Linked DNA regions of Arabidopsis thaliana. The protein of the gene in region 2 binds, or shares a complex with, the protein of the main gene of each other region. Each region holds a gene or a part of one and is shown on either strand. Other genes may lie near its edges.

The links.
Region 1: PSRP3/1 (region 2) and rps8 share a complex: the UniProt entries of both Arabidopsis thaliana proteins name them as parts of the 30S ribosomal subunit.
Region 3: PSRP3/1 (region 2) and rps4 share a complex: the UniProt entries of both Arabidopsis thaliana proteins name them as parts of the 30S ribosomal subunit.
Region 4: PSRP3/1 (region 2) and rps15 share a complex: the UniProt entries of both Arabidopsis thaliana proteins name them as parts of the 30S ribosomal subunit.

Annotation. Positions count from the first base shown.
Region 1 is NC_000932.1:79,489-82,423, reverse strand, and holds rps8 (ribosomal protein S8), read left to right. Parts: upstream 1-1,951; coding exon 1,952-2,356; downstream 2,357-2,935. Other genes in the region: rpl14 (ribosomal protein L14), read left to right, coding at 1,360-1,728; rpl36 (ribosomal protein L36), read left to right, coding at 2,822-2,935. UniProt on the Arabidopsis thaliana protein: One of the primary rRNA binding proteins, it binds directly to 16S rRNA central domain where it helps coordinate assembly of the platform of the 30S subunit.
Region 2 is NC_003070.9:25,756,877-25,760,306, forward strand, and holds PSRP3/1 (Ribosomal protein PSRP-3/Ycf65), read right to left. Parts: upstream 1,536-3,430; 5' UTR 1,294-1,535; coding exon 1,069-1,293; intron 993-1,068; coding exon 717-992; 3' UTR 551-716; downstream 1-550. Other genes in the region: AT1G68585 (uncharacterized protein), read left to right, coding at 35-148, 228-309, 396-550; AT1G68600 (aluminum activated malate transporter family protein), read left to right, coding at 3,071-3,377. UniProt on the Arabidopsis thaliana protein: Component of the chloroplast ribosome (chloro-ribosome), a dedicated translation machinery responsible for the synthesis of chloroplast genome-encoded proteins, including proteins of the transcription and translation machinery and components of the photosynthetic apparatus.
Region 3 is NC_000932.1:44,712-47,808, reverse strand, and holds rps4 (ribosomal protein S4), read left to right. Parts: upstream 1-1,980; coding exon 1,981-2,586; downstream 2,587-3,097. UniProt on the Arabidopsis thaliana protein: One of the primary rRNA binding proteins, it binds directly to 16S rRNA where it nucleates assembly of the body of the 30S subunit. With S5 and S12 plays an important role in translational accuracy.
Region 4 is NC_000932.1:122,726-125,179, reverse strand, and holds rps15 (ribosomal protein S15), read left to right. Parts: upstream 1-1,617; coding exon 1,618-1,884; downstream 1,885-2,454. Other genes in the region: ndhH (NADH dehydrogenase subunit 7), read left to right, coding at 1,988-2,454.

The DNA.
Region 1 (2,935 bases), on a different chromosome or scaffold from region 2:
AGGTAATCGAAAAGTATGCGGATTCAGTGGAAGGATGAAAGAAAGAGAGAAAAAATTGAATATTAATGATATATTATTCCAATTTGGAAAGTCTATGAGGTCACTGTAAGAAAAGCAATGTAATAAAGCATCAATACAGATTCATTCAGAATAATTAGATAAATCTGTTCCGAAAACAAAAAAAATTAAGAGCCTTGAGCCAATAAAAACTAAGAAAATTGACTCAAAAACAAATAAAAAAAATGAAATTCCCGATTTCATATAAGAGCTCCATTGTAGAATTCGGGCCTAATGATTAATCAAGAAGCGATGGGAACGACGGAACCCATGAATATAGAGGATTCTATTGAAAAATAAATCTTAGTAATTCATTGGACAGGATGGCGGAATAAACCAGATTATTATCTATTCTTATTTTTATTCAGAGATCTCCTGGGATAAACAACAAACTTAATATAGATATTGAAAGAGTAAATATTCGCCGGCGAATACTTTTTTTTTAATAAAAGTAATAAAAAACAAAAATTAAAAAGATAAAAGAAAATAAGGATTTGTTAGAATATTCTAACAAAAACGACATTCGAGATGATGATATTACGTTACGTTATTTTTAAATAAATAGAATTAATCTTGGATTCCATTTCGAAAAAGACATACACAAATTTAGAAGAGATCAGATGAAATTGAATATCATGATTAATAGAATTAATCATTAACTATATCTTAATACAAGCTTTTTTAGTCCTTTTATTCGCGAGGAGCTGGATGAGAAGAAACTCTCACGTTCAGTTCTGTAGTAGAGATGGAATTTCTAATTTAGAACCATCAACTATAACCCAAAAAGAACCAGATTTCGTAAACAACATCGAGGAAGACTAAAAGGAATATCTTCTCGTGGGAATCGTATTTGTTTTGGCAGATATGCTCTTCAAACACTTGAACCCGCTTGGATCACATCTAGACAAATAGAAGCAGGGCGACGCGCAATGACACGAAATGTACGACGTGGTGGAAAAATTTGGGTACGTATATTTCCAGACAAACCAGTTACAGTAAGACCTGCGGAAACGCGTATGGGTTCTGGGAAAGGATCCCCTGAGTATTGGGTAGCTGTGGTTAAACCAGGTAAAATCCTTTATGAAATGGGTGGTGTACCCGAAAATATAGCAAGAAAAGCTATTTCAATAGCGGCATCAAAAATGCCTATAAAAACCCAATTCATTATTTCTGAATAGGAATATATAATGAAAAAACTAAATAACATTTAAGGGTAAAAAGATTATAAGTTTTCTTTTTTTGACAAACAATATTTTTTTACTTCGTCCTTTGCATTAAAAGAAGAGATACAAAAAAAATGATATGATTCAACCACAAACCTATTTGAATGTAGCAGACAACAGCGGGGCTAGAGAATTGATGTGTATTCGAATAATAGGAGCTAGTAATCGCCGATATGCTCATATTGGTGACGTTATTGTTGCTGTAATCAAAGAAGCAATACCAAATACTCCTCTAGAAAGATCAGAAGTGATTAGAGCTGTAATTGTACGTACTTGTAAAGAACTCAAACGTAACAATGGGACGATAATACGATATGATGACAATGCCGCAGTTGTCATTGATCAAGAAGGAAATCCAAAAGGAACTCGAGTTTTTGGGGCGATCCCACGGGAATTGAGACAATTAAACTTTACTAAAATAGTTTCATTAGCTCCTGAGGTATTATAAGATCTAAATATCGATAGCGATAGTTAGTATCGGATTAAAAAAACAGGTATTGAAATAAAATTAATTAATAGATTCTGTATCACGCATATACCCTTAATAATAAAATATTAAGAATTTAATTCATATATTAATATATAATTCGTCTATATCTATATATAAATAAAAGAAAAAGAACATGTTGATTATATCAAAATTATAGAACAATAAGGAATTTTAACTTATCATGGGGAAAGACACCATTGCTGATATAATAACCTCTATACGAAATGCTGACATGAATAGAAAAGGAACGGTTCGGATAGGATCGACTAACATCACGGAAAGTATTGTTAAAATCCTTTTACGAGAGGGTTTTATCGAAAACGTAAGGAAACATCGCGAAAACAACCAATATTTTTTGATTTTAACCCTAAGACATAGACGAAATAAGAAAGAATCCTACAAAACGATTTTAAATTTAAAGAGAATAAGTCGACCGGGTCTACGAATCTATTCTAACTCTCAACGAATTCCACGAATTTTAGGCGGAATAGGAATTGTAATCCTTTCGACTTCTCAAGGTATAATGACAGACCGAGAAGCTCGACTAAAAAGAATCGGCGGAGAAATTTTGTGTTATATATGGTAATCCTTCTAATATAAAAATTAGATATCTGTAACTTACAATTTGTGAAAAAAGGGGGTTGTGTAATACCACCCCTGTTCAAAAAAGTTTCGGATGTTTTACTTCGAATGAAATTAAAGAAAAAATGAATTAATAAAAGTTTTCTTTCTTAATCACTTCCGAACGGCATGGTTCGATTTTGTTTAGATACTAAAGATTTTTTTTCGTTCATGCTTCTGAAAGGATTCGACATATTTTTGTATAGGTATACCTATAGGATAAAAAGGTAAAATTTTGAGTAAGTTCTTAAGTATAAGTTAATAAGGGGACAGCCATTTTCTAGACTCCATAATAAGTATTCAAATGAGTAAGTGTTTTTTCAATTTCAACCATTCCTTTCACGAAGATACAATTCAAGATTCAAAAATATCAAGAAACCTTTTTTTCGTCCACCAATAAATATATTCACAGAATTAAGGAATAACAACTATGAAAATAAGGGCTTCCGTTCGTAAAATTTGTGAAAAGTGTCGACTAATCCGCAGGAGGGGACGAATTATAGTAATTTGTTCCAACCCGAGGCATAAACAAAGACAAGGATAA
Region 2 (3,430 bases):
GTTTTATCTATCTTCTCTGTGCAACGAGAGTGTCATGGCTACTCTGTCTCAAATCGTCGAGGAGGAACTTGAACCATCACTAAGAAGCAAGCTTTCAAGAACAAGTGAAACCAGTCTCGCTTCTGTCGCATCGTTATCCATGCCACTTGTTCGTTACTCTCTTAACACTTTTGTCTTAGAATGATTCAACTCTGTGGATTCTTTTAATTGATCTTGTGTGTTATCAGATTCAGGAGATTGTTCTATCAGCAGACATCAGATGTAGTGACTGCCAAGAGAAAGTCGCCGACATAATGGCGAGGATGATCGGTGAGTATATAGCTTACTTACTTCCGAGATGAGACACTTTTTTGTTCTTTCCTCTCACGCTTGTTTCCTCTGTTTTCTTGGAGCAGAAACATATTCAATATTGGTGAGTGTGTTGGAGAAGAAAGTGACACTAACGTGTACATATTCCGGTGACCGGAGAGTCTCTAAATCCTATGGTGAAGCTCTTCTCTGCAAAATCTCAACCATCAAGCGTTTGATATGTCCTTCAAGGAAACAATAACTCAGAGTTGCTTGATGTTTGCTTTTATTATCATTTTCTCTTTCCAATAAAATGAATCTTTTATGTCGAATGTGATTGGATATTGTTTAGATAAACAAAAAACTCTCAATAGCAATAATAATCATAGACAAAGTGAATTCTTGAAATGCAGAAATCAAAAAAGAGATTATTGAGAAGTTAAATTGCCGCCACTTTGTTGCCAGAGATTGATGATATCAGTGGCTTGGTTTAGAAGAATGATCATCTTCTTCTGAGAGATCCATGGTTTAGCTTCAAGAGTAGACTTAAGCTCTTCCCAAGCATCTTTCCTAGGCCAGAAGAAGTAAGGACTAAGTGGGATTGTGCCATGTCCAGGTACATGTTGGTCCAATCCTAATCCTATGTTCTTCTCCATCCACACAAACTTGAGTACCACTCTTGATTTCTCATCTGGCTTCACCACCTAACACAAACAACAAAGATTTGTGGGTTTTGTAACACAAGAGACAAGAAGATGAAGAAGAATATGTTGTTTTTACCTTTATTGTTTGTTGTGGAGTGTTGTCGGAAGTATCAATTCCGGTGACTGTTTCAGCGGTGAGTGTCTCTGGAGCTGCTAGAGTTATGATTTTCCGTTTTACAGAGATGGGTTTGGTTGTTTGGGTATGGAACAATGGAGGAGAAGCAGTGATGGAGAGTTTTGGATGTTGAGAGATGAAAGAAGAGCAGAGGGAAGTAGAAGAGAGTGCCATTGATGACATCATTTTTGTGTTTTCTCAGAGAACAATGGAGATTTTGTGAGAATATGGATAAGGAAGATATGGTCACATTTTTGGGTGGAGTTTCAAAGTAGTTTGACTATCAAATTTATGGGCTTTGTTGACTTGGCCCATCATTAAATGGGTCAAGAATACAGAGTTTATTATAAGCCCATGAATACAAACCTGAAGCTTTGAGAAGTAGACTTTTAAAAATACAGACTCTGTTTCAAGTATTTTCGAGGGACTAATTCAAAGATCTCAACATATAAGTATTAATCATATCATATTTAATTCGAATGACATTTGACAGCCACAAGTATTTATACAAAAATTAAAAACCTCATCTTTGTTTAGTGTTCATGATTTGATCAAAGTCAATAAATTTTTTTGTGTGAAATAAATTTTTGTATTAATCAAAACACAATTTTTAACAAAATATAATTATCGATATTGTACGCTGCAAGATGTCCTCAATTTGTTTTATTTATTTATCAAAAACAAATAATTGTTGAGAAAGTGGCCTTTACATTATATATGTCACATGATTCTTTTTACATTATGTCACATGATTCATCTTAAAAAATCGTCTTCTTTATTTTCACAGGTTTGCTGAGGCCAAAGAAGAGTCTTTCTTTGGACTTGAAGTAGCACTGGATAGATGAGATGAGAAAGCCTTTAAGGAGAAAGACACCATGATGGTCATTCATGAACATCATTCGATGAGTATATATAGTAAAAGTTTGAAATACTTCTTACATCGTAGTTATTATATAATGTGCACACGATATTTTTTATTTTCAGCATACAATAATTGGATAAAACAATCAAACTCACCCAAAATACATAAATAATTGTTGTTTCTCAAAAAAAAGTAGGAAAAATCTCATGTGAGGGTGGGTACACTGTGTAGGGTAGGGCTTGGCTTTTGAGCATAGTTAGGAAGTAGTAAGATGCGATGCGGTAGTAAGTAGGAGTTTCAAAATGTCACATTCACACAAGTCACGACCATGAAACTTGTCGTCTCTTTGATACTTGCAACTTCTCCAAAACTGTGGGTCTGTAATTCAATTATTAGAGTCTTGAACTTGAAGAGACTTTAAGATATGTGTGTAAATTTGTTCACCGTCACATTATTGGTCCATTTACATTACACACGTCCACTATAGTTAATTCTCAGGTTGTTTATCCATAGATATCTGTTGTTATTTCTGCGACACTTTTACTGGTCACAATGAATTATGTTGATGTTTAGATTCAACAAAAAAACTTACTAAATCGGGTAACTATGAAAAAATATTATGTAGCTGAGCCAAAAAGGTAAAGTCTACAGTTTAAGAAACATTAACACATTGAACAGAAATTAAGAAATAATATAATTCTATTTTTAATTTTTTTACTGAATAACTAATAGTCACAAAAAATCATATTACGGCCTTACCGGTCCATTTATGCATTACTGGTCCACAAATGTAAATTCTCACGTTTTAAATTCCATCTGTTTCAAAAAATTTGGACACTTTTGGTGGTTAATATGTTAATGATTAGATTTCAACCAAAAACATCAAAGTTATAAATCGGACAATTATTAAAATTTGTAATGTAGATGCACCAAATTGTAAATTTTTTAAAAAAACTTGATTATTTAGAGATGATGAATCGAAGGCATGCATTAATTGCGTAGTACAAAACAAATCTTGATAAATAGATAAATAAACATCTTTCTATTCGTAAGGACGACAAGAATCTCTCAGGTTCTGTAGAATTGTCAGAATCATTTCTAATGGGAGGTAAAATGGGATCAGTACCGGAGCAAAACACAGAGAAGCTTCTCTGGCAGTCAAGCGACGTCGCTGATAGCCGTGACTCCAAGTTCCGGTGTTGCTCGTGGAGGGCTCTCTACGAGGCTCCGGCGAAGTTGTACGCGCTGGGACATTCTGATCGTAGGAAACTTTACTTCTCCATCAAGATGGGAATTGCTTTGGCACTCTGTTCTTTCGTCATCTTTCTCAAAGAGCCGCTTCAAGATGCTAGTAAATTCGCAGTTTGGGCGATTCTCACCGTCGTTCTCATTTTCGAGTATTACGTCGGTATTGATTCTTAACTCATAGCCTAGTTTATGATCCTTTGATTGGATCTTTGA
Region 3 (3,097 bases), on a different chromosome or scaffold from region 2:
ATTACCGAAGGATCATCTTGCTTTTACTAATGGTGACACAAGGATTTTCAGTCCCCCGCAATTAAGCTATGTGTACCATTACCGAAGTATAATCTACTGAAGTATCAGTATCATTTTAATATATGACTTAGGTCTATGTCAATGAAAAGAAACTCAAAAGTAGTAAATTCAAAAAGTTGTGGACCGGGAATTTCTTGGATTTTATAAATAAAAGAAGACTTTCTAAGTTTGAAAATGAAAAATGATATAGATTATAAATAATTCAAATAAATAATAACGAAAAAAAGGTAAGGTGTCAACCTTTTCGGGGAGTAGAGCTGGGGATAGAGGGACTTGAACCCTCACGATTTTAAAAGTCAACGGATTTTCATCTTACTATAAATTTCATTGTTGTCAGTATTGACATGTAAAATGGGACTCTATCTTTATTCTCGTCCGATTAATTAAGTTCCATCAAGGATCTATCAGACTATGAAGTGAATAATTTTATTTTAATCAAGAAATATTATTTCTTAAACTTCGAATTGATTCACAACATTTTGATTTTGTTTATAAAAAAATAGAAATCGAGATTCAGGTCGTCATTTTTGAGATCGTTTTGTGTTACCTAAATTTATACAATATAGGTTTTTATCCTTCATCCTTTTTGATTTGAAGTTTCGATCGAAGGATTCCTTTATGAACACAAGGTAGTGAACTCCATTTGTTAGAACAGCTTCCATTGAGTCTCTGCACCTATCCCTTTTTTCGCGCTTTGTAAACTCCGGTTTGTTCGCGTAAACCAGGATTTGGCTCAGGATTGCCCATTGTTAATTCCAGGGTTTCTCTGAATTTGAAAGTTATCACTTAGTAGGTTTCCATACCAAGGCTCAATCCAATTAAGTCCGTAGCGTCTACCAATTCCGCCATATCCCCTTTTTTAGGATCTCATTATGATGTCTTTCCTTTTTTTTCTTATGCCGAAACCTCGGGATTCATTACATTATAGATACTTATTTTATGTCTTTGTTATCTTCTTTTATTTTTTTGAGCTCCATCCATATTGATTTAGTCTAATCAACAAAGATTCTATCATTTTTGTATTTGCAATTCAATATGGTTATATATTACATAACATATATATGTTCTTTTTTTTTTCATCTTTGGCTTAAATTTTCAGAAATAGTCGAACGGTCGATTCTTTTTTTTTTTTTTACTTTCATGAAAAGAAATTTATTATTATTATTATTGAAACTTAGAATTCTACAATGTGCAATGGAAAAAAATTATAAGTCTACTTCGTAAATTTGAAATTCTAATAATTCTATACTATTCTATGACTATATAGATATATATATAGAATTAAGGTTATGTTTTATTTATTTAATGATGAATGATAGTCACTATTTATGTGAGCTATATTCTGTTCTAGAATATATAGAATATCATTAATTCTAACTAGATAAGGAAAAATATTAATAGAATAGTTAATTGATACGATCTAGTAGTTTAGTGAATTTGTATGCATGCGCTATTTTATTTGAGCCCGCTTAGCTCAGAGGTTAGAGCATCGCATTTGTAATGCGATGGTCATCGGTTCGATTCCGATAGCCGGCTTTTCCATATTTTTTCGTTTTTTTTTACATGATTTTTAATGTACTTTCAAAATCAAAGAAGATTGAAAAGACTTCTTTGACCTTTTTCCAAGAGTTACCACTCCATTTATATTATGTCATATAAACTTCCATATTAGGAATATATATTGGGTAAAAGAGTTTGATCTTTGCAAAATTAATCAAGAAAATAAAGGAAAATTTTTGTGATTTAGTTGATTTATATATATTGTATATACAATAAAAAAAATCTGTATATTGAGAGAATATATCTTCTTACTCTTTGTATTCCAATAGTGGAGTGTATTTCACGTCATTTATCATTATCATTTAGTTCAGTTTTAATTTTATTTAGTTTTGTACAATTTCAATCAAAAAAGGAGTCTTTATGTCACGTTACCGAGGGCCTCGTTTTAAAAAAATACGCCGTCTGGGGGCTTTACCGGGACTAACTAGTAAAAGGCCTAAGGCAGGAAGCGATCTTAGAAACCAATCACGCTCCGTAAAAAAATCTCAATATCGTATTCGTTTAGAAGAAAAACAAAAATTGCGTTTTCATTATGGTCTTACAGAACACCAATTACTTAAATATGTGCGTATAGCCGGAAAAGCCAAGGGGTCAACAGGTCAAGTTTTACTACAATTACTTGAAATGCGTTTGGATAACATCCTTTTTCGATTGGGTATGGCTTTGACTATTCCTCAAGCGCGCCAATTAGTTAATCATGGACATATTTTAGTTAATGGTCGTATAGTTGATATACCAAGTTATCGCTGCAAACCCCGAGATATTATTACAGTGAAGGATGAACAAAACTCTAGAACTTTGGTTCAAAATCTTCTTGATTCATCTGCCCCTGAGGAATTGCCAAACCATCTGACTCTTCACACATTCCAATATGAAGGGTTAGTCAATCAAATAATAGATAGGAAATGCGTCGGTTTGAAAATAAATGAATTGCTTGTCGTAGAATATTACTCTCGACAGACTTAATAAACCTAACTTAAGTAAAAAAAAAAATTACTAAAAACAAGAGTTCGGACAACTCCCCTTTTCCATTAAAAATAAAAAGGCACAAGGTAAGGGATTTTGTCAAAGAATATTTTTCCTATTCATGTATCATAGATTGGTAGGGAGATTGGGATCCCTTGTTTGCTCTTCCCAGCATTTTCCATATGAAAGAAATTAGGAATAGAGAATCTATTTCAAAATCAAAACAAGGTAGATCTTATATCGATTCTTTTTTATTGGATTTGATACATTGTGGTCAATCACGTAAGATTGGTGAATTTGTTGAAAGTACGGAAAGAGAGGGATTCGAACCCTCGGTAAACAAAAGTCTACATAACAGTTCCAATGTTACGCCTTCAACCACTCGGCCATCTCTCCGACATCAAGATTATGACTGAGTATCTGGGTGAATAGCGAGTTATTCATCGTTTTTTAGATTATGGTTAATAGATACCCTTTTTGACCGGAAAATTTGGAAGTAGATAGAAGGTTT
Region 4 (2,454 bases), on a different chromosome or scaffold from region 2:
AAAGTAACTATTGAGCCTTGGGTTGATACTAAGAGTAAAAAAAAATATATTAATACTAAAGTTCAGAATTATCAAAAAATTGATAAAATAACGCAGACGGATCTTGCTAATAAAAAAAGAAACTTTTTTGATTGGATGGGAATGAATGAAGAAATACTAAATCAGCGTATAACAAATTTTGAATTTTTTTTCTTTCCGGAATTTTTCTTATTTTCTAGTACATATAAAATGAAACCATGGGTCATACCAATCAAATTACTTCTTTTAAATTTTAATGAAAACATAAATGTTAATAAAAAGATCATTCGAAAGAAAAAAGGTTTTATACCATCAAATGAAAAAGAATCCCTTCGATTTTATAATCTGAATAAAGAAGAAAAAGAATCGGCCGGTCAAGTAGAACTTGAATCAGATAAAGAAACAAAAAGAAATCCCGAAGCAGCTCGATTAAACCAAGAAAAAAATATTGAAGAAAATTTTGCAGAATCAACAATAAAAAAACGTAAAAATAAAAAACAATACAAAAGTAATACAGAAGCGGAACTTGATTTATTTCTGACAAGATATTCGCGTTTTCAATTGCGATGGAATTGTTTTTTTAATCAAAAAATTCTCAATAATGTAAAAGTATACTGTCTCTTGGTTAGACTAAACAATCCAAACGAAATAGCGGTATCTTCTATTGAAAGAGGAGAGATGAGCCTAGACATTCTAATGATTGAGAAAAATTTCACTTTTGCAAAATTAATGAAAAAAGGAATATTGATTATTGAACCTGTGCGTTTGTCTGTACAAAACGATGGACAACTTATTATATATAGAACCATAGGTATTTCATTGGTTCATAAAAATAAACACAAAATAAGTAAAAGATACAAAAAAAAAAGCTATATTAATAAAAAATTTTTTGAAAAATCCATTACAAAATATCAAAACAAAACTGTAAATAAAAAAAAAAATAATTATGATTTCTTTGTCCCTGAAAAAATTCTATCCCCTAAACGACGTAGAGAATTTCGAATTCTAATTTGTTTCAACTTAAAAAAAAAAAATGCTAGGGATACAAATTCAAGATTTGATAAGAATATTCAAAACTTGACCACCGTTTTGCATAAAAAGAAAGATCTTGATCTTGATAAGGATAAAAATAACTTAATTAATTTAAAATCCTTTCTTTGGCCCAATTTTAAATTAGAAGATTTAGCTTGTATGAATCGCTATTGGTTTAATACTACTAACGGAAATCATTTCAGTATGATAAGAATACGCATGTATACGCGATTTCCAATTCCTTAATCATAAATACTTTTTACTATATATAATAAGTTACGGTATATGAAAACAACTATATGCACAAATATGAGGGATTGTTTTAAATTAAATCTTTATACATGAGATTAATTTAATCAATCACATAGATACCAATTATAGCGGATTCATAAATAAATTAACAGAATCCTTCTTTTTGAGATCTAAATTTAGATTTTTTTCTAAAATGAAGAATTAAGAGGTTGATAATTAAATTAAGATCCTTGTACAAAAAAACTACCATTATTATTACTGATCAGTAAAATTAATATCTTTCAATTCATATTAAAAGGGGAAGGATTTCTTTTTATGATAAAAAATATAGTCATTTCATTTGAAGAACAAAAAGAAGAAAGCAGGGGATCCGTTGAATTTCAAGTATTTAGTTTCACTAATAAGATACGAAGACTTACTTCACATTTGGAATTGCACAGAAAAGATTATTTATCTCAGCGGGGTCTACGAAAAATTCTGGGAAAACGTCAACGACTGCTGGCTTATTTGTCAAAAAAAAATAGAGTACGTTATAAAGAATTAATTAATCAGTTGAATATTCGGGAATTAAAAACTCGTTAAATTCAAAAATTGTGAATTAGTGAATTTTTTAGATCTTGAATTTTTTGATAAACTTCTTTATTCAGAAATCTAATTCATGCCAGAACGAATCAAGGAAAAACTTATGAAGAGACCAGTTACAGGAAAAGATCTTATGATAGTCAATATGGGACCTCACCACCCATCCATGCATGGTGTTCTTCGCTTAATTGTTACTCTAGATGGTGAGGATGTTGTTGACTGTGAACCCATATTAGGTTATTTACACAGAGGAATGGAAAAAATTGCAGAAAACCGAGCAATTATACAATATTTACCGTATGTAACGCGATGGGATTATTTAGCTACTATGTTTACAGAAGCAATAACAGTAAATGGACCAGAACAATTGGGAAATATTCAAGTTCCTAAAAGGGCCAGCTATATCAGAGTAATTATGCTGGAATTGAGTCGTATAGCTTCTCATCTGTTATGGCTCGGCCCTTTTATGGCAGATATTGGTGCACAGACTCCCTTTTTCTATATTTTCAGAGAACGAGAATTTGTATATGATCTATTCGAAGCTGCCACCGGTATGAGAATGATGCATAA